3 linked regions of the Oreochromis niloticus genome follow. The protein of the gene in region 3 interacts with the protein of the main gene of each other region in a pairwise test. Links are inferred from orthologs where the notes say so. Each region holds a gene or a part of one and is shown on either strand. Other genes may lie near its edges.

Evidence for each region.
Region 1: the proteins of apoptosis regulator Bcl-2 (region 3) and bnip2 interact in a two-hybrid assay, tested with the Homo sapiens proteins (3 studies listed by BioGRID and IntAct). The link is inferred for Oreochromis niloticus from reciprocal best matches to the Homo sapiens genes BCL2 and BNIP2.
Region 2: the proteins of apoptosis regulator Bcl-2 (region 3) and bnip4 interact in a two-hybrid assay, tested with the Homo sapiens proteins (2 studies listed by BioGRID and IntAct). The link is inferred for Oreochromis niloticus from reciprocal best matches to the Homo sapiens genes BCL2 and BNIP3.

What each region holds. Positions count from the first base shown.
Region 1 is NC_031972.2:52,314,110-52,321,761, reverse strand, and holds the start of bnip2 (BCL2/adenovirus E1B 19 kDa protein-interacting protein 2), read left to right. Parts: upstream 1-4,623; 5' UTR 4,624-4,719; intron 4,720-4,899; exon of another isoform or gene 4,900-5,640; 5' UTR 5,641-5,722; coding exon 5,723-6,087; intron 6,088-7,652.
Region 2 is NC_031978.2:14,389,523-14,396,532, forward strand, and holds the start of bnip4 (BCL2/adenovirus E1B 19 kDa protein-interacting protein 3), read right to left. Parts: upstream 3,064-7,010; 5' UTR 2,937-3,063; coding exon 2,894-2,936; intron 2,494-2,893; coding exon 2,322-2,493; intron 2,183-2,321; coding exon 2,122-2,182; intron 1,859-2,121; coding exon 1,752-1,858; intron 1,559-1,751; coding exon 1,409-1,558; intron 114-1,408; coding exon 77-113; 3' UTR 1-76. UniProt on the Homo sapiens protein: Apoptosis-inducing protein that can overcome BCL2 suppression. May play a role in repartitioning calcium between the two major intracellular calcium stores in association with BCL2.
Region 3 is NC_031982.2:16,825,794-16,833,758, forward strand, and holds the start of apoptosis regulator Bcl-2, read right to left. Parts: upstream 3,009-7,965; 5' UTR 2,381-3,008; coding exon 1,832-2,380; intron 1-1,831. Other genes in the region: kdsr (3-dehydrosphinganine reductase), read right to left, coding at 6,285-6,404, 6,503-6,604, 6,719-6,802, 6,942-7,025, 7,494-7,685. UniProt on the Homo sapiens protein: Suppresses apoptosis in a variety of cell systems including factor-dependent lymphohematopoietic and neural cells. Regulates cell death by controlling the mitochondrial membrane permeability. Appears to function in a feedback loop system with caspases.

The sequences.
Region 1 (7,652 bases), on a different chromosome or scaffold from region 3:
CCTGACAAAGTTAAACTTGGACAGATGAGCGCAGGTGAGAACGCTTGCTGCGATTATAATAAATTTAAGAGGCAGTTTAATAAAAAATTTGAATATGTGGTGAAACTTAAAATTCATAAGAGGTGTGCATGCTTTTTTTTTCTATTCACGGACATTTTTAGCTTTTTTCCTTATGAACCATAGAGGAATAATGTCATGCAGCTGTAGAGCAGGAGATCTGCAAAATACTAAACATAGTTCTTAAACTGCCATTACTATGCCATTACACCTTGGCATTTACTGGGGCATTTCTCGACCACATTTTGCATGGTGCACACGATATTCCTCACGTGATCAAAAGGGAGGCATATTGAGGGAAAGCAGTCAAAGATCTAGCTCCACTCAATTAGCTTCAGCAAGATAATTAATCAGTTCAGTATGCACATCCAAGTCTCAGAGGCGTCTTTGAGATAATTGTTCTCATTGACTTGAATAATTATTTGTTTGCTGATTTAATTATTTTCACATTTGGAAAACAAATGAATGCGTGCTGGTACATACTTTGGATCTCTTTTTTTTTCTTTTGATGTATGCAGGTGAGTGTCAGACTAAAAGAATGACTGAAAACTTCTTTTCAGAAAATATCTCTTGAGAAATTATCTGGAACCAAATTCAGACAATTGTGTTTTTTTAAACCATAACCTCAACGCGAAGACAGTCAATAAAACATAAAATGTTTCTTCCTTGTGGCATCAATACAAACTACGATGAATCAAAGGCTAATATTTCTCAGACAGGAGGTCATCTCAGGGTTACAGACACAGAGTCCTCGTACACTGACTGGCACGGTGAAAACAATTGTCAGAGTCCTCGGTTCACACCATTACAAGTGCGACTGAGACCTTGCGGCTACTGTAGCAAATAGCACAAATTATGGGGGCCATTTTAATAGCAGTCTCTACTATTTATCATGCTGTTTTAAATGTTTTGCTCATTTGTTTCCATTAAATATTTCATCTTCCCTTAAATATTCATTTAACTTCCTCTTTAAATTTTTTACCAGTCTCTTTGCAGTTGCTATCTTCTTGCCTCCCTTTTAGGCTTTGCAATCATAAATAATTATTCATCTACACCCAAAAAGAGATTGCATAAAACATGCACATGAATCCTTTTTGTCTTTTCTCATTAGTGATATACTTCGAGTAGCCTAAATACTTCCCGCTACCCCACTTATGGAAATTGGTCGGAGAACCTTCCTAATGATTCTGCTTCACAAATAGGATACAGCCTGCATTTCTGATCCTAACATTCATCCCATCCTTTCAGGATGAAAGGCGGGGTCGGCTGCAGATCCCAAGTTTGTGTATTACTTTTAAAAGGAGGACTAATCCTGACATATTATCCATCAGACAATGCTCTTTTAGATTTTACTGTTTTAACCCAATGCTGGGCTCCGGTGGACCTACTGTACTCTGAATGCCTGCTTCCTGGTACTTAACTGTATATTGAAGAAAAAGATATACCAAAAAAAAGAGAGTGCAACACAAATCCACAGCATTTGGATTTCCTAAAATATTTCCAGAAGAAAATTATAAAAAAAATAAAAAGTCATCACATCATTTATAAATATTTAAGATAAATTGGTATTCCTTGGCTCAGTATATTTTCCTTGGCTAAACAGCCAACATTTGTCTTAATTTGTTAGATAATTTCAACTTGCCTTATTAGCATGTAGTGCCATGTTGGAAGGTGAAAGGGAAGCATAAACTCTCAATTTGACTGGATTATCCTTTTGTGATGAGGCCTAATGATCCAGCAGAGTAAATAGCAAAGTGTTAATTAGAAATTACAGTGAATGATCCGCTGCACACAGAGGAGGTATTAATCGGGCTGCATCATTATATTATACTCAGAGTTGTTTTTTCTTTTCTTGTAAAAATAATATATCTAAAAAAATATATATATATTATTTCCGATGTAGCTAATATGCTCCAAAAGTGCCAACTGACCAGCAATGCCTATAAATAAAACCACCCCTAGGTGTGACTGAAATTATATTCTACTGAAATTAACTATTTTCAAAAATATGTACATGCTGTTCACTAATGTAATTATTCCTCAATTCGTATGTCTTTCCTAATTTGTTTTTTAATTTGGAAAATATTATGGAAAGGGCCTTGTAATTGTGGCTGCAGCTGGCAGTTACTTCTGAATAAATCTCAGACTTTGCCTAATTTGGATGTTGCACAGTTCATGGCAGATTTTAATCAATAAAGGCGTCCCCCTAAACTACAACATTTAAGTAAGCATTTGCCTCCACCTAGTGGTAAATGTTGGTTACTGAGGCTAGAGCTGCCAATAAATATTCAATGACTACTGTAAAGACTGGAATTCTGCTGGTAGAAACCACATATTGTTTCTATTATATGTCATGAATAATTAAAAGATTGTATTTTTTTTTATTTGTAATAGTTTTCGATTTTTTAATTATGTTAATACAATAACATCTTTAAATTATTTCTTTGAACTGATCTTTTTCCCAGGTGAACTGATTGTACAGTATGCATCTTTAATGACTTTAACAAACAAGTACTGGGTGCACAAGTTTGAATATAGTTTGGATTTTCTCTAATCCACACAGCCAAAAGTATACATACAGACTCTTAACATATACATAAACTTCATTTTTAATTGTATTTTTAATTTATTTTTTAAATAAATGGTGCTGAAGGTTCTCATTAGTGATCACAGTTGACTACAACTGCTAATTTCTCATCACCAGCATAAAAAGGGTTTCTTTGAGAGCACTAATTGGACCGAACAACACTTTTAAAATGGGAATGTCTAAGGAGCTCAGTGAAGAAGGAAAGTTGTAGATTTACATAAGCTGCAAAGGTCTTGGGGACCTTTCTAAGCAACTGCAGACTCCAAGATCATCAGTTTAAACAAGTGCAGTGCAGGTTCTTTGGATGTGTCACCACTTTGCCAAAATCTAGAAGAAGTGCCCAAACTGTCACCCTCAGATAAGAGGAAATATGTTAGGATGTTCAAGAACAACCCAAGAACAAACAAAACTCCAGCCTGTGACGGTGCTGACCAAGAAGGGAGCCTCTGCTCCAAAATCAACACCTTTCAGCTTGACTGAAATTTACAGCTGCCCACATGGACAAGCCAAATGCCTTCTGGAGAAAAGTCTGGAGAAACACTATCTGACCAAAAAGATTGATCTATGTGATCACAGTAAAGAGCTATGTTTGAGTTTCACAATAAAAGTGAAACTTTCAAACCTAATAACACTGAACCAGCTGTCAAACTTGGTAGTGATATCGTCATGTTCTAGGATTGTTTTGCTATCAGTAGCACTGGTACATTGCACAAAGTGAAAGAAATAATGCAGGAGGACTACCTCAAAATTCTTCAGCTTCATCTCAAATCAACAACTGTTGATTGTTGAAACGTGGACACAGTTGGGTGTTCTAACAGGACAATGATCCAAAGCATGCATCAAAGCTGGTTTTGGAATGGATAAAGCAAGTGGTATGACCTTTCCAAGGCTCTGACCAAAACTCTATTGAAAATTTGTGGACTACGTTTGAAAACTGGGTCAGTGCCAGGAAACCAACCAATTTAAATGAACTCTTTGCCAAGAAAGAGTAAAATAAATTCAAATTCAAACTTGTGCACCCAATTTTTGTTTTTTAAAGTCATTAAATATGTAGAAGGTAGAAAGCTGATAAAACAGAGAGGGCTTCTAAAATACCAATGCCATTGCATTATACACAGGACTGGTTCAGTTTACTTTGCAATATAGTCAGCTACTGACCTCAAGTGACATTATTTCATGTAGTTAATAACTAAATCCATGAACTTTGAATTTCTTTGAAAGAGATGGATAGAGCTTCAAAAAATTTGACTTACACAATAATGCTTTTCTTTTCTATGCAAACAGAAGAACTTTGCATATTCAGCATTTACAGTTAGTCAAACCAAATTAGCCTTGCAAAAACAGAGGCCTACTATACAAGACAAGTCACAAGTATGCACTTCAACAGCTTCATTATTTCATTGGTAATGATGAAAAAAGTCATATTTTAAATATTTACTGAAAGGATAATCAAGTAATCACTGACGAAGTGACTATAATCCGATTACATATCTTTTTAAAAATGAATTGCGCTCAGAGTTACTTATTTGTGTAACCTTATTAGCTAAGAGATTATTAGCTAGATTAGGTATAAATGTTACTGCCCTAATGTAATGAAATCTATCATAACACAAACTCTTTTTACAGTGTTGCCTTTTCAGACACAGTCTCATTAATGCTTATTAAATAAATTGAATAAAAATAAAAAGTAAAAAATAAAAATACTTTGGCTTGACTGACTAACTAGCAGTTACTTCCCACTGTAAGAGAGAACAGTGCGATTCCTAGTATAAATCATTACACGAAATCAACACGTTGCGGTTTTTAACCTTTAACCCACTGCTGCACAAATCACTAATGGGTAGCGAGATGAAAGCAAGAAATACAGTTTGGACAACAGAGCTGGATTAGAGACGTGTGTGAACCAGACTGTGTAGTCTATACCGTGTCATTTCTATGTTTCCAGTATCAGCAGAGGGCAGTGAAGCTTGCTAGGGTAGAGACGCTTCTGCGGCTCATGGAAGGACCATTGCTATTAGGGGTGCCAGATTTGCTCGTTTTCCACGGACCAGAGCAGTCTGAGCCAATAACTCTAGGTATATTACGTTGTTTTGTTTTTTATCATTATTATTACATACTTTTTATCTACATTTTACTAACTTTATTTTATGTGGGACACCCAAAAAGAAGTTTCAGTTTTGAAAATATAATATCATTATGTAACTCGTGGTCGCAGCGGGCCAGTTAAAAGAAAAGCTTACAGTGCACCAAAATGACATTTTAATTAAATTTAGCGTGCTTTTGTGTGCTTGCATACAAAAAATAAATTCATAAATTTTACACGTAACCACGAACTGGGTCGTTTATGCCGAAGAACCTGCAGGAAACACAACTGGCAACTCCGCTGACCATAAACTGTATGCATATACACTATGATAGAGCTAGGCGTTGTTAGCAAACAGTTAACTTCTGCCGTTTAGTAGCCGAGGCTCGTGTGTCGGCAAATTAAAAGGAAGTAGTCTTTGTATTTAACATGGGTCCAAGAAAAGACTGTCCTTACGTTGAGCTGTAGTTGATAACTGCCGAAATATTTCTTTTTTAGCTCATAGACGGCGTTAATTGGAATACAAAGCTTGTTTTGTCGTGGCTAAACTTTGCTAGCTCCAAAGCTAGCCTGACTGAATGTGTTACGTCCACCGGAGAGCCCTCTGGACTTGGAGGAAGGAAGGAAGGAAACTGATAAGTGGGATAACTGCGCACCTATGCTCCTGCAAAGCTAGAACTCTATAGGACTCTTGAGTTAACACCGTGACGCATTTAGAAAAGGTGACTATCTGTAGACTTAGCGTGATATTTGACACTGTTTGGTTAATGAGATATGCTGTTAGTTGGCATAGCTAGCTGCTAGCGCCACGTCTCTGGGCTAGCTGTACAGCAGACGAGAGCTATCCTGTTAGCCACAAACTTCCAAAGAAGTTGTGTAAGTCAGATTTTTCTTTCTGGTTGATTTGGTCAAGGAGCTGAACGGTGATTAAAGCATTTCACGGTCGGACTCTTTAACTCTGATCTGCTGTACCACCGGGACAACCGGAGAAACTTATGGCATCGGATGTGATTGAGAGTGAAGCGGTGCTGAAGGGTGTAAGTGATATGAATTTGAACAATAGCAGCCCAGATACTGTCACACCCAGGGGGACTCTTGAGGATTTGGGAAACAGACAGACGTCCAGCCCGTCATCATCCGGTGTATCGGGAGAAGGCGATGACGAGGAAACAGACGAATTGCAAAATACCACAGCTTCTGCTCCAGAAAAGGGCGAAGAGGAGTTTCAAGACAGTCTAACCAAAACAAGCGGTACGCCACAGGAAAGGAAGACTCCAGACAATGTGCAGAAACAACGAGGAAAAAGCTCTACCCCGGTGAGCGTTCCCCAGCCACGCTCACCAGCTGGAGCCACTGGAAGGTGTGTATTTGGACATTTTTGTGTTTTCCTTACATAGAAGCAAACTATGAAAACATTAGCACAGATATGGTTTAGTCACTCCCAGAGTCAAACGATACTTATGTCGGTGGTTCTAAAGTGGACGTAGGTGTACATGTGACTGTGTTTGTGTGTCTGCCTTTGTGTTGGTTATAGCGCAGTGTAACGACCTGTGTCAGTTGGGATAGGCCAAAGAGCGTTGTATCATGGCCTACAGTCTGTGAAATGTATCTCATACATGTCTCTCATGAATGATAACAAGCCATTTTCAGTCAGAAAAGTATCATAAAGTAGAAGCTGAAATCAGTTTTTGGCAGAGTGACTTTTATATATCCTTTTATTTATTCTGGTAGAAAGTCTCGTTGACATTAAAAATTCAATTTTCAAGAGGGAAGGGGGAATTGCAACAAATGTAACATTTCTTTAAAGCTTTTTTAATTGGCTGACTGGCTGGGTTGGTTATAATATAGAACACAGAGTAGGTACAATATTGCAGAATCATACAACCAGGTCATTACTTTATTTTATATATAACCCCCTTTTTTAAAATTCTGCTCATGACAGCCTGTTCATCAACTTAAGTAAAGATATTAGATGCATAAAAAAGAACACAGAGAAATTGGCAGTCACTTTTTAGCACAACACTGGTCCTCTTCAGGAGGATGTGTCAAAGGTATGGATTTCAGAATTGACAAGCAACCTATCCTTAACCATTTTTTGTCAATACATATTGTTTACTGGGAGCCAATCACTCCTGCGTCTTCATTCCACTTCTCTTATTAGATATTTGTCAGTAAAGTCTTTTGTGCAGCAAAAAATAAGCAACTTGACATGGTGTGGATACTCGAGCTCTAAAACATTTCTAAACTATTTTTAAAAAATAATTAAAAACACACACCTATAAGTACAATTTTTTTGCAGTAATCTTGAAAATTGCTTGTCCAGGAGTCAACTTCCAAAAATGTCATCATTTAACCTCAGAGTTCATCTGCATCTTTGTAGCACTCGTATTGTGCTCTAAAAATATTTGTTTTCAACATCTTGCCAGAAACTGTTGGAACCCAGCCATCCCGAAACTAATTCAGGACCATTAGATTACTTTGGAGATCTTAAGTTCAGAAAAAGCTGTTTCAGTTTAGCCAAACTGTTCATATACAAAGGTTTGTCTAACTTCTGAACTGGTTAAGATGTGAAATTGATAGTTTTCTCTACTTATAGATATTAGTGCACTTTGCTCTACACCTCTCAGGGCTGTATTTTTTAACGCTTGATCAGCCATTTTATTGGAAGTATTGTGAATATTAATTGGAGGGAGCTATAAAGCTAATAAAGAATAGTAACAGACTTAAACCTTTCACATAACTAAAACAGGAAAAAAACGCAGCAAAAATGAATGTAGATGCAACGATAATCTTATAATAATCTTGTATTTGTTTCATTTATGTTGAAGTTATGAATACAAAAAATGACTTCTCATTTAACTGGTAACACATTTAATTTTGCCTTGAGCTTTATTTAAACAAATTAGCATTCCATCTTTAAAGTTT
Region 2 (7,010 bases), on a different chromosome or scaffold from region 3:
TCATTAGAAGGTCCCGTTTTAAGGCATGCCAAGATGGTTGCATGACGTTGATGCGGTAGTGCCAAGCGTCACGATCCTATTTAGGATGTGTTAGGCGCCTTCCAATATATATCCTACCAGGAAAGAAGAAAACAGAGAAATTAAGATGCAGCTTTAAAACATAAACACAACTGACTATATGTATCTACTGAAATAGTTTTTTAACCGGGTAAAATGCAAACTCAATGACCACCAAATTAGGTACAACTTTTCAGCCAATGGCAGCAACTCAAAACATTAAGGCATGCAGACATGGCCCAGATGACCTGCTGAATTTCAAATCAAGCAACAGAATGGAGAAGGTGACTCAAGGGAATTTGAACGTGGCATGGCTACTGGTGCCAGATAGGCTGTTCTAAATGTTTCAGAATCTGCTGATCAAGTAGGATTTTCCAACACAGCCATCTCTAGGGTTTTCAGAAAACGGCCTGAAAAAGAGAAACTTGAACAGCAGTTCTCTGGTTGAATATGCCTTATTGATGCCAGAGGAGTATGGCCAAACTGCCTCAAGCTGATGGCGAGGCAACAGTAACTCAAATAACTCATTACAAGCAAGGTATGCAGAAGCGCTGCCTCTCCAGCTTAGAATGGGAAACTAAGGTTTTAATTTGCATTTGCTCATCAAAACTGGACATTAAAAAGAAATTGGAAAAACATTTGTTATAAAACAGAATTTGCTATAAACAACATGAAAGATCCATCCTGTAGTTTTCAGGATGGTGGTGGTGGCAGTGTAATGGCATGGGGGATATTTTCTTGGCACACTTTGGGCCCCTTCATACCAGCAGAGCATCACTGATATGGACCAAAATCTCTGAAGAACATTTCCACCAATTTGTTTAAGGTGTACCTAATCAGGTGGCCAGTGAGTTTATGTGGTAGTTTTTTAATGTAAAAGTCCAAAATAAGATGTGTTGAAATAATGCTCTATAGAATAATAACCACAGGCTCCTAAATAAAGACAATTATATTCTCTGTCATTTTGAAGGTGATATACTTCAGGGATTATCCTACCTAAACCTATAAAATGTCAGACACTGAACTGGACTGCTGTTTATCCAGTCAGGCACTGTTCTAAACATCATTATGTTTGTTTTATTTTTACATATATTTCAGTGTTTTGTTATGATGACACTGTCATTTTTCTATCCTGCAAATCCTGCAAATGTTAAGAGATTATTGATTGGTCATCAGTTAATATACAAATACCAATTTTAAGTGCATGTAAAATGATCCCAATATTTATGTGAAAATAGAATACATCAGGTCTAGTGGGTCAACAGTTCCTGCAGCAACTGAAGAGGCTCCCGTACAGTTGTTTTTAGTTTTCACATACTGCCTGAGTTAAAGATTAAATGATGCTGCTTACCCTAAGCCAACAGCGAGTATGTGGGAAATGATAAATGATGGAAGGAAAAGCTTCAGAAAGTCAGAAGAGAGAAAGCCTCCCTTCTTCATGACGCTGGTTTTCCTGATGCTGAGAGAGGTTGAGCGCTTAGGGTGCTTCAGCAGGAACTCCCTACAGAGCGACACATTAATTTTTCATTGTTCTGAATACATTAAAATCAAGTGAGTGCCAGTTTAATGTCACACCGGCACCTTTGCTCACACAGACATCATTTCAAATTCTATGAATCACAATTACAAATCATGGCATGTAATAATTATAGTTGGGGTAAAAGATTATCTCTAATTGTGATATGACTACTTACTTTGGTGGACTGTTCTCAGGTCGGCTAGACCAGTCCCAGATCCAGTCAGCATTTTTCTTCATCAGGTTCTCAACTTCCCGTATTCTCTCTTGGAAATCTTCATCTGACTAAAAGGAGAAAAATTAATTAAAAATAATAATAATAAAATCATGTCAAAATACATTCAGCTTTAACATAGTTATGAATAATGCATACAAATAAAACTACATATAAAGTAAACAGATTGTTTTCGACTTGTCAAAGCAGGAAAAGCCTGACTCAGCTGTTAAGTAAGGACCTCCTTTAAGTGGAACGCCATTATAATTAAGATTACTTTCCCTTGCCTGCTATAACATGTCCAAATTTCGGCTGTGAGAAAGGCTTAATGTACCTGTGAGCTGTTCCCCTCTGAGCCTTTCCACAGAAGAAGCGGGGTCTGTGCTCTGCGTGGGCTGTTGTGAAGAAGAAGAAGAAGAAGAAGAAGAAGAAGGAAACACATAAGGGAAACTCAGCTCACAACTTCTTCATATTACTCAACAAACAGAGGAAAAACATGAACTGCTCTTCCCCCTTCTGCCCACCCCCACCAACCTGTTGCACTGAGAGCTTCCTCTGGAGCTGCTCCTGCCTGATTCGTGCTGTGCTTCTAGCAACATATTCTCCATGTCGGCCGCCAGGCTGGATGAGGGAATTTGCTCCTGGCTTCCTTGTTGACTGGCACTTTGGGAGCCATTCCCACTGAAATGCAGCTCAACCCAGGAACCTTAAATCAAATGCAAAGTCTTTAAACATGAATCCCGGTTATCCAGTACTGCATCACAGGCCTATCTCGGCTAGGATGGGCATGCAGTCTCTGCGCAAAAAGGAACAATAAACAAATGAGGACTGTTCTTAGCTTGCAGGCATTCTCATCGTGTCAACTCTGCAGATTAGCCTTAATAACTAACTGGAACGATGGCCTACCCTGTATAGCTGTGTCTACACGTCTTATAAGTATATAAATCAATGTGGAGTTGAGATTCAATCTAGCTATTTAGCTAAACACCCCTATCGACTGGCTTTTCACGTGGTCAGGCTAGGTGACGTTATTTACTCGTGGTGTTTAACTATCGTCTACCGCTAACAACAACACTGGCAATGTATATTCGGCGTAAATACTTCACCTTGCAGACTCTCGTCAGAGGAAGTGTCCACCGGTAGTGACATTGCAGCGGTATAATGCAGTCTCCGCAGGTTTAAAGGCCTATATATCAGCGAAATGGTGGCGAAATGCCTGCAAGCAGCTGGAGCTCCAACTACCACAATAACAATGACGCAACATTGTGTTTATCTAAAATGTGATTGGCTCGGAAAGGAGAGCACGCGCGCCACGCTCTCCCTGCGTGTTGTTCATGCGCGTTCACGCCCGCGTACAAGGACACGATTTATGACCCACCTCGATAAACACGTATCCGAGTTATTTGTGAAAATGTTATGCAAGCAGCGCTACAGAGAAAATGTGCTTATGTCAGCTGACTGTGTCTCACATTTTTGGTTTAACCTTCACTGCAGCAGTTATACACATCTGTCTGCAGAGGGCAGTCATAACTAGGATGACCAGATCCCCCCCCTATCCCACAGCTTGAGACAATGCCCCACATTTTGACTGGGTCTGCAGGATATGCACTTTTCTAAAGTCTGGCTTTTACCCTTTGTATATGAAGTGAAGGCTTTTTTATTATAGTCAGAAGGTCATCCGGTCTAATGCCATACTCAAAAGGGAAAATTACAAGTCACCAAAAAGTCACAGGCTTTGCAGACGGTGTTTCTACACCAATCTGCATTTTATAATTAATCTATGGCTTTCTTCTATAGGGTGCCTTTTGTTTTGTCTCCCTTCCCTCACCCTCTACTGCTCGTGGCAGATGACTGCCCCTCCCTGAGCCTGTTCCTGCCAAATGGGAGTTTTTCCATCCCACTGTCGCCAACCCGCTCATAGGAGGTTGTCGGATTCTAACTTGAAAGTTACACAACTTCATAGTGTAAAACTCATAATCAATGATCTTTACTCTTGCATGTCTATGTGTCGGTTCCATAGTCTAGCCACCTAATTAAATTAATGCTTACTCGTTTGTATAGTTTTTCTTTCAACCAAGAATTGAATAACAACATGCTGTTTTTGAACAGCTAGACATATATTATACTGTATTTATTGTTCACAATTTCTTCAACAGGCTAGTCCAAATCTACAATCTCAAATTTGGGACTTGCAAATGCAATTATGTTTGTGGACATGGAAATTAGTTTGGCTCATTAGTCTTCCTAAATTGCATTACTGTGGGGGCTTATTATTATGGGTTGTGTACTGCTTCCTCGCAGGCAAAGGTTTACACAGTTTACCACATCATTTTAAAACACAGATAAAATACTTTGTTAAAAAATGTTACCAAATAGTTGATATCTTATGAGAAATAAAGTTTGCAAAAGCATGCAGTGAGTGGTGCTTCAGTTTGTGGTGCTAGTGATGTTCCACCTTATATGTTTTTAATGTTTAGCTCTACTAGATGTAGATGTCAGCTAAAAATACAGAAAAATATCTCAAACCTCAAACTCAGTTCAAACATATATCCAAATTAAAGTGCATAAATTGGATTTATCAGCTAATGTGTACAGACAGACATAAGGAATATTCACAAAAGAGCCAAGGAAGGAAGTCCCAATTTTGGGTATTCAATTAAACTAGAAATTTGTATCTGGAAACCTATCACTGATCTGTGTAGATAATCTGCCATTTGTATCAGACACACTGCCTTCCGGGTAGAAGAAAGCCAAATTCCTGTTTGCATTAACCAGACTGCAAACGTATTAATAAATTGTGGTATAAGAAAACCTATCATTAGTGTGTGAACAATAATACCTGGTGGCACAAAAACAGGGAACACACCGTTCCACTCAGGTTGCAAGCCAATAAACAGTCTCTACAATTTTGCTATCAGCCACATTTTAGGAAAAAACATCAAAAGAAGAGGCCAGTAATCAAAACATTTCACAAAGAAAAAGGAATACTATAAATCTGTACCACCTACCCAGGTTGTGGCTCTCATGCTTATCTTAATGCCACCTGTACTAGGCCTGGCAGTGTGTTTATTGTAGACATACCTGTGAGATCCACTGTTGCCATCAAGGAGAGCAGCTATCAACACTGCAGGCCACAGACACTGTATTAGACTCTAAGGCTGTACAAGCCAAAGCAACGTTTTCAGAGACTAAAGAGCCCTGAAAATATGAGACACTGTACTTCATATAAATAAATAAATGTGTGTTAATTTTTTTTTCTAATTTTGCCATGTTAACTATCCAAACAGTTTTCTGTAATCAATACTTTGCATTGCAAATATTTATAAACATTAACGAACTATTGTATCTAATATAGATAGCACATTATGTTGTCCTTTAATTAAAAAAAAAAAAAAAAAAACAGACAAGCTTTTTCACGGAGTTAGCCATGCATGCATTTTACAAACTGAAACTATAATTTTGTTTATCCATTTGTATCAGATTTGCACTTAAAAATATTCCATTATAAATCTTCGGCTGTAGCCAAAGAGCTACATTACGCACAGTATTTAGCTAGCTACTTAGTTAGCGAAAGAGTTCCAAGCTTCAGAAGTGAGAATGAAACTCATCTCGATATCCTCAGGAGGTACTCTGAGGACCAGTAGGCTAGCTCATTTGGTTCCACATCACATGGTATTAATAAATTACTGTAGTGGTAGTAACTTACTACAAATGTGTTGTTATGCAGCAATTATGCAATGATGTCCTTTTTAGACAGATTAAAGCAGCCCTTCATAACTGGAAGAGGCATGCAGGACCACTCCAACATCCAGCTGAAGAGATTCATTGTTTTTCATGTAAACTTTACATTTTGAAAAAAGCATCTGGAAAAACATTTAGGCTAATTGGAATTAAATTTTGCTTTATTCTTGCTTTATCTTTAAAATACTTTGAGTAAATTAAATTAATATTTAACTGGATTTAACTTGGACCTAATTTTCAAATATTAAGAGAGATCCTTGGCAATTATTTTTATTGTCTGATATTTCCTTCATTCTGTCTGCATGTTGTCATGTTTTTATTTCACAATTAGATACTGTAACTTACACTAAATTACTTACTTAGACTAAACAATTAGGCGCACCCGCTCAATGGCTCTTTACCTAGGCAGCCAATCAAGTAACTCCTAAACTTAAACCAAGCATCAGGATGGGGAAGAAGGGTGATTTAAGTGACTTTGAACAGAGAACGTTGCGAGACAGCTGAGCTGAGTGTTTCAGAAACAGGCTGATCTGCTGGGATTTTCCAACACAACCATCTCTAAGGATTACAGAGAATAGTCTGAAAGAGAAAATACCCAGTGAGCTTTAGTTTTCTGAGTGAAAATGCCTTGACACCAAAGAATATCTGTGTATTGTTTGTGACAATGTCCATCACTTTATGACCACAGTGTATTCATTTTCTAATGACTGCTTCCACCAGGATAATGCACCATGTCGCAATGCTCATATCATCTTAGACAGGTTTCCTGAACAAGACAATTTGTTTACACTGCTCAAATGGCCTCCACTGTCACCAGATCTCCAATAGAGTAGCTTTAGGATGTGGCGGAAATTATGTGGGAAATTTGTAGCATGGATGTCCAGTTAGCAAATTTCCAGCAACTGCCCAATGCTGTAATTTCAAAATTAACAAAAATATCCTGATGAATCTTTACAACACCTTGCTGAATCTGTGCCACAATGATTTAAGGCAAAGAGGGGGTCCAGTTAAGTACTGGTAAGGTGTAACTAATAAAGTGGCCAGTTAGTGTATATCAGCAGTAAATTTGCTTCTTAGAGCCTTTTAAAAAGACGTAAAGCAGAGACTGACACTTTGCTGGAGTTGTGAGCCTATAAAGCCACACATCTATCCACCTTGTTATGCCAGTGTGTTGGTGTGTGATAAGGGGAAGCATATTCAGAGATTAATTGTTGGGTGTCTGAGTGATGAGGACAGAAATTATTGCAAGCTTGATCGGGAGTTGATTGGTGACATCATCCGGTAGCATATGATGGTGCTGGTGGAAACAGTGTGCAAGGAGGGAGGTGGGAAGGCTAGACAAGGATTGAATACAATCGATACTACAGACAGGACAAGATGCATCAGGAAGAATTATGATGTCCGGAGTAGGAAATTTGCAAGAGCTTCACTCAGTATCAATGAAGGTTTGCTGCAGATTGCTACAGACGGTGATGGCACTTT
Region 3 (7,965 bases):
CAAACACGTCAGTGTAAAACAGGCCGTCGTTTCGGCTCCAGAGGAGACAAAACATAGCAAAAAACCCCCAGCTTTGTTTCACAGACTGAAAACACAGTTGACTTTTATTACATTTCAACATCTGCAAAGCCAGTTTTCACAAACCCAATCCAGAGTACAGACAACGCTGTGTTTGCAACGTCAGTTATTAAAGGTCATGCAATAACTGAAGCACACACCTCAGGAAATTCCCTACCTGACACCCGTTCAGATGAATATAAATCAACACCGGTGCATGGCTGCATATGCGGAAGCTACAACAGAAACTGAGCTAACACTAACATATTCAGGATTAAACTGTTTTAGAGCCTACTTTGAGCTTAAAACTAATTGGATGAGGTTATTCATTCCCCATACTGCAGACATATGCTTTCAAATAATCCTAAATAATCCTTTGGATTAAAGAACTGTGCTCTTGCTCTCTCTCTCTCTCTCTCTGTCTGTCTCTCTCCAGTGGATGCACAGATACAGTCATCTCCACCCAGCTGTAAAACCCAAACTATGATGACCTACATTATTCTACAGTGGGCTCCAGAGACCCCGAGCAGGCATCTCTGCGGCCCCAGTCTGCGCCAGCTTCAAGGCACAGGTCTGAAAAAGGCAGACAAAAGAGTCCCAACCAAGATGCAAACAGAGGACGGCATGTTAAACACAGTGGCTGCAGATTAGCACTCTGTGTTCTTGGAGGGCCCTCCCTCTGTTGCCTCCCTTTGATATGTGGCACAACCTGCCACCTCCAGGGGCAAGGCAGACTCAAGGGGAATGTTAAACGGTCCTATCCTTTGAGATGAAACATTCGATATGAATCATTGATAAGCCCACTCAACACACGCCCCGTTTTTATGATACCTTCCAGCTAAGATAACCAGGCAGTGCAAACGTTATGCTCTCATTAAGAGCACCTCGGCTAATTAAAGGTTAATTCATTGCAAGTCAGTTTTGGTGACTACTGAGGTGCACAGCAACCCCCCTTTTTTCTTGCAGGAGAGTTTGCAGCTGTAACAAAAACCTGAAAAATGAATATGACAATGCATGCTTGTTTCAGATTCAGTGTGGGCATGCATTCAGCCAGGTGTGTGTTGTGCCAAAAAAAGGCCTCTGATAAGCTGAACCCTGTCCAGTTATGCCCAGAGGCCTAAACACATTAATTCAATAGTTTGCTCTTTGCTGACATGTGTCTGACCTCCTCCCTTCTGCAAGAATGAGGGCCTGCAATGCATCACGTGACAGCGGGACTGAAGCACTTTCGTGCATGAAGATTCAGATACAGGTGGATGGTGAAATGGCCTCTCTCTCCAACACCACACGCAGAATCCTGTTTCTTTTTATAACTAAGCTTTTACTTCCCCTTAGATAATAACCCCTGTGCTCCAATGACAGCTGCGCGTCTGCCTCTGCTCCTACAGTTGACAGGGCGGGTTTTTTATAGAGAGGCGTCGGGAGGTGTGATAGAGAAACCGCTGTTTGATTGGTCGAGTAAGTTTAACAGTCAACGAGATCAGCCAGTTAGAGCAAGTAAAGTAAAGCCGTTCATCTCGCTCGTTGCCTGTCGTGCGTCACGAGATCATCTTAAAAGGGACTTTTCTTTTTTTAATGATCAGCTACACATGTGGTTTCGATATTGAGCCCCGTTAAGCCAGATCAAAATGCACTTTTCAGCTCAATCAAACGTGTAGGCCTACACTGACCGAACTCACTCACTGAAATTCCTTTTAATCACAGTTAAAAGAGGACTTTTGCGAACCCTTGGCACACTGCTGCAAAGCGCTCAACTACACGGAATCAGACATACCCATCCCCCGTTATCTTGTATCCAGCTGTTAAGAGGTCCATTTAAATACTCCGTCATCCAGTCTGCGATGTTGTCCACCTGGGATGACATCCCCTCGTTGGAAGCGCACTCCACGCACACCGTGCCCCCAAACTCGAAGAAAGCAATAATCCGGCCCCAGTTCACTCCGTCCCGGAACAGTTCGTCTATCACCTCGGCGAACCTCCTCTGCGCCGTGGCGGAGGTGAGATGCAGCTGCCGCGACATCTCCGTGAAGTCCGGCTGGTACAGTCTTTCAAGTTCATCTCCAGCCTCGCGCAGGACTCTGTGGATGCCTGCGTGTGGGTCGGACTGTGGGAGCCGTCTGCAGAGGTGGGTGTTGCTCTCGCCGTCAGGCCCGGTGCTGGCTTCTCGGCACCGGTGGACCAAAGTCGGTGGAGGGTCAGTTATCGATCCGTTATTAGCAGCATCTTCTTCTTGGACAACGCGAAATCCCCACACGTATCCCCGCTTGGAGAGTTTATGGCAGATATACTTTTCCACAATATTGCGATTATACTCGTTCGCCATTCCGGCTCAAATTTGGCACTTTGTATATCCAGTGGTTATCCTAAATAAAATGCATTTTGACCAAATGTGTGCACCGTACAATGCTCTGCACAGGCTCGTCCAAAAAGCTGGGGCTGTATTCAAATAGATAATGCAGCGAATTATCCCACACAGAGAGGAGATACTTTACTCGTGAACTCGGGGAAAATCCCTTGAAGAAAACTGCACAGAAACACGCACTAGAAGTCAAAACAGGCTGGTTCCGTGTCAGCAGCAGTCTTCATTTCCCGAATCCTTGGAGGGACACTGGCGACCTTCTCTTTGCATAGAAATCCAATATGCGGAAGAGGTTGGGAGTAGTGTTGTTCTATTTCTGTGCACATCACCCAGACGTGGATGTGTTGCGATTAAAAAAAAAATATGAATGAAAGCCAAAGTTGTTCACGCCTGAAGGGGTTTTAAAGGCGGCCAACTGTTTTAGCAGCCTTACGCACGAACCAGACGCGGGACTGTGCGCCAGACAAGGTCGGACTGGAGTCCTCTTCCACGATTGCTCCACATATCCTCCGAAGCAGCTCCCTGTTCACCGCTAGTGGGCCGCACTGTTTAGTGAGGTATGCCTGACGTCAGCTGCGGAAAGTCTTTCCTTTGGCTGCTCCAAGTGCACACCAAGAACTGCGCTCAAACCATTTATAGGCCATATTATTATTACTGCATACTGCGTCCTCGTTTTAAGGCAGACCACGTTACCCAGAAAATTATATAAACAAGAATATTTTTAAGATTTAGATATTTTTTATGATAGAAGACAGAAATCTTAAAAGATCACAGGGTTAGGGGCAGAGGACCACCCCAGCGAGGGATTGCTTTGATGTAGTCCAGCCACCCCCTTGTGGACACAGACCTTACAAGTGCAAAACTGATGCACCACTCTACATTTTCCCTGTCTTCTTTAAACTTTTCTCATCTTTTTTAAAGCATCTCCCCTATTTGTCATCTACTTATTCTCCAACAGGTCTAACGAAGCATCTAAAGTCCTGCACTCTGCAAACCCGAGAGCTGCTGCTGCTTCGGGAAGTTCCCTTATGAAAAAATTAAATGTCATCCTCTATCAAACAGAATACTTAACGTCCTCAGTCCTCCACAAACCCTGCACTGTCAAAACTTATGAACCTCGATCATACTGAGATTAATTTAATTCCCCCCCCCTCTTAAGGCAAGTTCAGTCTAAGAGGTCTGGAGCAATTTAAGAAGAGACAAGGACACCCAGGAGTAAAAGGATTTAGGTTTTCTTCACAGGTATTTATTTAGTTTATCATGTAAGAAAATAAGACAAAGAAATGTTCCACTCCTCACATTTTCTTTCAATGGCACACAAGGTGAAGGTGTTAAGCTTTTTTGGCAGAAAGAGTATAAAGCAAAGAAAACAGAAAAAAAGCGTGAAACCAAAGAGTGCAGTATGACATGTTCAAGACTTTTAAATCCATTGAGCATCCGACAATGACACCATTAAACGAGGGAAACTAGCGTGACTCTTACAGAACTTAAATCTTTACTGTATGTTTAAACATATTGTTAGCAGAGGCTTGATTTGCATAGCTTAAAGTTGTGTTAGTGAAAACAAAACTGCTTTTACATGAGCTACATGTTCTATCCATCAATGTGTTGCTACCTCAAGGTAAAAAAAAAAAAAAAAAAGAAAAACCTTCTTAAAGCAATAAATGTACATTTATGGAAAGCTCTGAAGTGCGGGACAGTACGCCTTTAACCAATATCAAATGAGAACATCATCAAACATGAGTCATCCATTCTCACTTTCATGTCTTGGATTTCAGTAAGGCTTCTTTTGTCATAGAAACACTAGAAATTGACCAAACACACACAAACACACAAAACCCCCCAAACAGTTGGCATTTCACACCAAATAAGTCACAAAAAAAAAAAAAAAAAAAAAAAAAAAAATCACCCGGTAAACCAATCATCCACTAATGTATGAAGTCACATTGTTCTGCGGACGGGTCCACTCTCATAGCGTTCGCTTCATCAGTAGTCACGTCTTAAGGCTGTAGAATGGGCCACATGCTGCTATCCAGCTTTTATTAAGTAACACTAAGATCAAAAGAGCAGCGACATCAAAATAAACCACAAAGAAATGTGCTGCGATCTCAAGAAATTGTCTTAACACATTTTGGCATTCAAATATTGGTGTATTTAAAAAATAATGTTCCTACGTTCTGATTCGTATCGCTTTGCTATAAAGTACATTCTCTCCGACTGGACCAAAGGAAGACTTGCAAGAGTCAACATTGTATTTTCTTCTTCCTTTTGCATCCAAAACAATAAGAAAGTCAGATGGTAACTAAGAGTTGACACAAATCAGAAGGGAATCGATATTTTGTAATCTAGAGAGTTTTGAAGTCCCAGCAGTGCACGACAGCGTCAGTGCATGTAAAAAACAAAACAACACAACAACAAAAAAAGAGCATCGTAGAGATGAGGGATAACACTTCCACTCTTGTTCCTCCAAAAGTTTGGCCATTATATAAGATGACTCACCAGCGCCCTCACTAGACGTACAGAGACATGACTCGATCCAGCGAGTCGCGCCCATCTCTGAGTTACACCAACCTGACAGATTATGCATCTTCACTGGGGGTGGCTGAGAATGTGCACTGACACACAAAACTGCAAGTAAAAAATGATACGCTTCATGCTTCCTTTAGCAACTTATTAGTGTTTTTTGTTTGTTTTTTTTAAATTAAACTGACAAGTGCACGAGTGAAACTTAAAATTATGTGCTGGTTTATTTGTTTGTGTATCCCCTCCCACCCTAATCTTACGACTTCATGGCTTCAACCCATAGTACCTGCTTTACTTTCTTCATTTAGCTGGAATGACGAGGAAAACGTTTTTGCTGTCTTTATTCCCGAGACAAAAACTTTGAATGGCTTTACTCTTTCCGGAGGTGGTCGGCTCAGTCACAGCAAACACACTTTCACATCACACGGTTTTCAGCGACAACGCTGCATGTAAAGTTTTGGAATATTATCACTATTATTAATAATAATGATAATATGTGGAGATTATTTTATGCATTATAGATTTAAAAAAATTAAAGACAAACATAACAAGCTCTCTCCTGCCCTTTGATATCACTGAAGAGTACTGTCGTATAATGTATGACCTCAGTTCACGCACAAACACAAACAAAAATATCCTGCAGCATAAACAAAACACTGTGGGTCACGACCGCTTTTAAACACAGAGGTTATTCAGTCAAAGAAAAAAAAAAAAAAAAAAAAAAAGAGAGAGAGAAAAAAGGGAAGGATCTTTGCCTGCAAAGACCTGAAGTATGTAAAAGGTGGGAAAGAAAGGGCTTATATAGTGAAAACTGTAAAAACTCTCTAAAAGATGGAAATCTCTGATACATGCGGCACAATATGATGAAAAAGAGAGTAACAACTATTCTGTTTTCGCTATAGCCTCTGGTGGGGAAAAAAAAAAAAAAATTCAGGCCATATTTGGCACAACCGGTTAGACGGGCTGTTGCTTTTCTTCTCTGTGGGAACAAAAAAAAAAAAAAAAAAAAACCCAGGCTGTGGGATTTTTAGTCACCCCTCTTTCCTCTAAAGTAAGGCTGCTTCCACAAAAAGAAGCAGGTGGACACATTAAACTGAAGTCACCAGGGGAGAAAAAAATACATCTAAATGGCTATCAAGTCTGTGGAGTAGACACGTAAACATCTGCCACTTTCTTCCATTCCATCTGCTAAAGTTGACATCAGAAATGCTGACATGGCCTTTTATTTTTCAAACCCCACCCCCACCTATGGTTGTGCACTTGTACAGCTGGAGGAAGGGACTGGCTGGGAGGGCAGTGGGTAAAGGGTTGGGGGCATCGGGGTGTGGTGAAGGTAAGGCTGCAGTTACTCCCTCTTATTGGCCGCTTTTGACTGCTCCCTTTGAATCATACAGCGGCGCACGATGCTGTCAAAGCTCCCCAGGTAAAAAAGTGCGATGGTCCGAAACAATCCCATGGTGACAATCTGTGCGGGAATTTCAAAATAAAAAGGTTAGGCTTAAAATTGCAGATCTGCTGAGGAACGCTGCCTCCTGCAATTTCATATCATGTACAGGGCTGTACCTGCTGGAGACCCTCTGTGATGGAGGTGACGGGTGACATTCCACAGGTGAGCGCTGATAGCATGTAACCATCTGGACCGACAGAGCTGTTGAAGTTCCCCTGCTGTGAGATGAAAGAAAAACAAGCAGATACATTTGCCAAAGGAAAAAACAAACAAAATACAGAGCACACATCTTATTTTTAAACTGGGCACTGAATGTGATTCGAGCTTCTTACCACTGCATCCCTGACAATGATTTTGGCCACTTGGTCTGGTTGACAAACTCCAGAGGTTTCAGAGATTAATTTGGTCTCCAGAGGCTGGGAGAGGAAAGCGGATAAAGAGGGAGAGAGGGAGAGAGGGGTGGGGGTACGACCACAAGCATTTAAGCAGCAATAAAATTTACATAAAAAAAACAGGAAGTAAGAAAAGGACGTATTTCTCTGTACTGTTGCATACTTTTGTCTTGTTCTCTTCAGCCAGTCCTGGAGTGTCAGTGTCAGGGGGGTATGCCACAGTCACGTAGATATTGTAGGGTTTTATCTGCAGAAGGAAAACAAAGCAATAACTGCCTTAGCAATTCCACTACTGAGACCATGACAACTAACTACATACGTTAACATTTCAACAGCTCTTTGACAATAAAAGTTCGCCTGAATGCTACCTATACGTAGAAAAAGTATAATCATTACAGCACTGACGCTAGTGAAATGTCCTTTATCATCATCTTCACTCAAGCTGCAAACACACTGCAAGAGATATGCTTGTTGCATATGATGGCTGGGTGCTTGTGGACACTCCAGGCTCTGGCTGTTTAGGTGAACCTCTAATGCATTTATTCCCAGATCAAATGTCATTCTCCTTGGTAGTCGCTTCAGTTGAAGGAAATTGAGAAAAGTTTATCTTCAGTCCTGCCTACTTCTGGTCGTGGAATGTCGTTCGTATTCTATGCTAAGGAATGCTAAGAATTGCTTCAAGCATGTATGTAGGCCATTTTTGCAAAACACATACCTCCATCTGCAGTGACTCTGCAAGGCCTCGCAGGGCAAACTTAGATGGGGAGTAGGCAGTGTAACCAAACAGACCAATCTGGCCCGCCTGGGAGGAAACGAACATGATGCGGCCCATTCTTCGCTCCTTCATGGTGGTTATGACGGCTCGTGTTGGGTAAACGCTGCCCAGGTAGTTCACTTCCATCAATTTCTAGAAACGAAGGCTACATTAATACATACTATAACCAGAGTGTCCATGGTACATTACATTATTGTAGGCAGCTTCAGTCACTTTAAAACCTGAGCAGTTCACAGTGTCTTGATTCACAGCAGGCCATAAATTTAGCCACTTCTTCAAAAATTCTGACGATTTCTTACCAAGTCACAAATCAAACCTTTTCTAACAAGAACTTAATGTATGACGCTCATTTCAAAAGACCCCATTCCTGCTTTGGGGCACATTTATTATGTCGACAGCCAATAATTTTAAG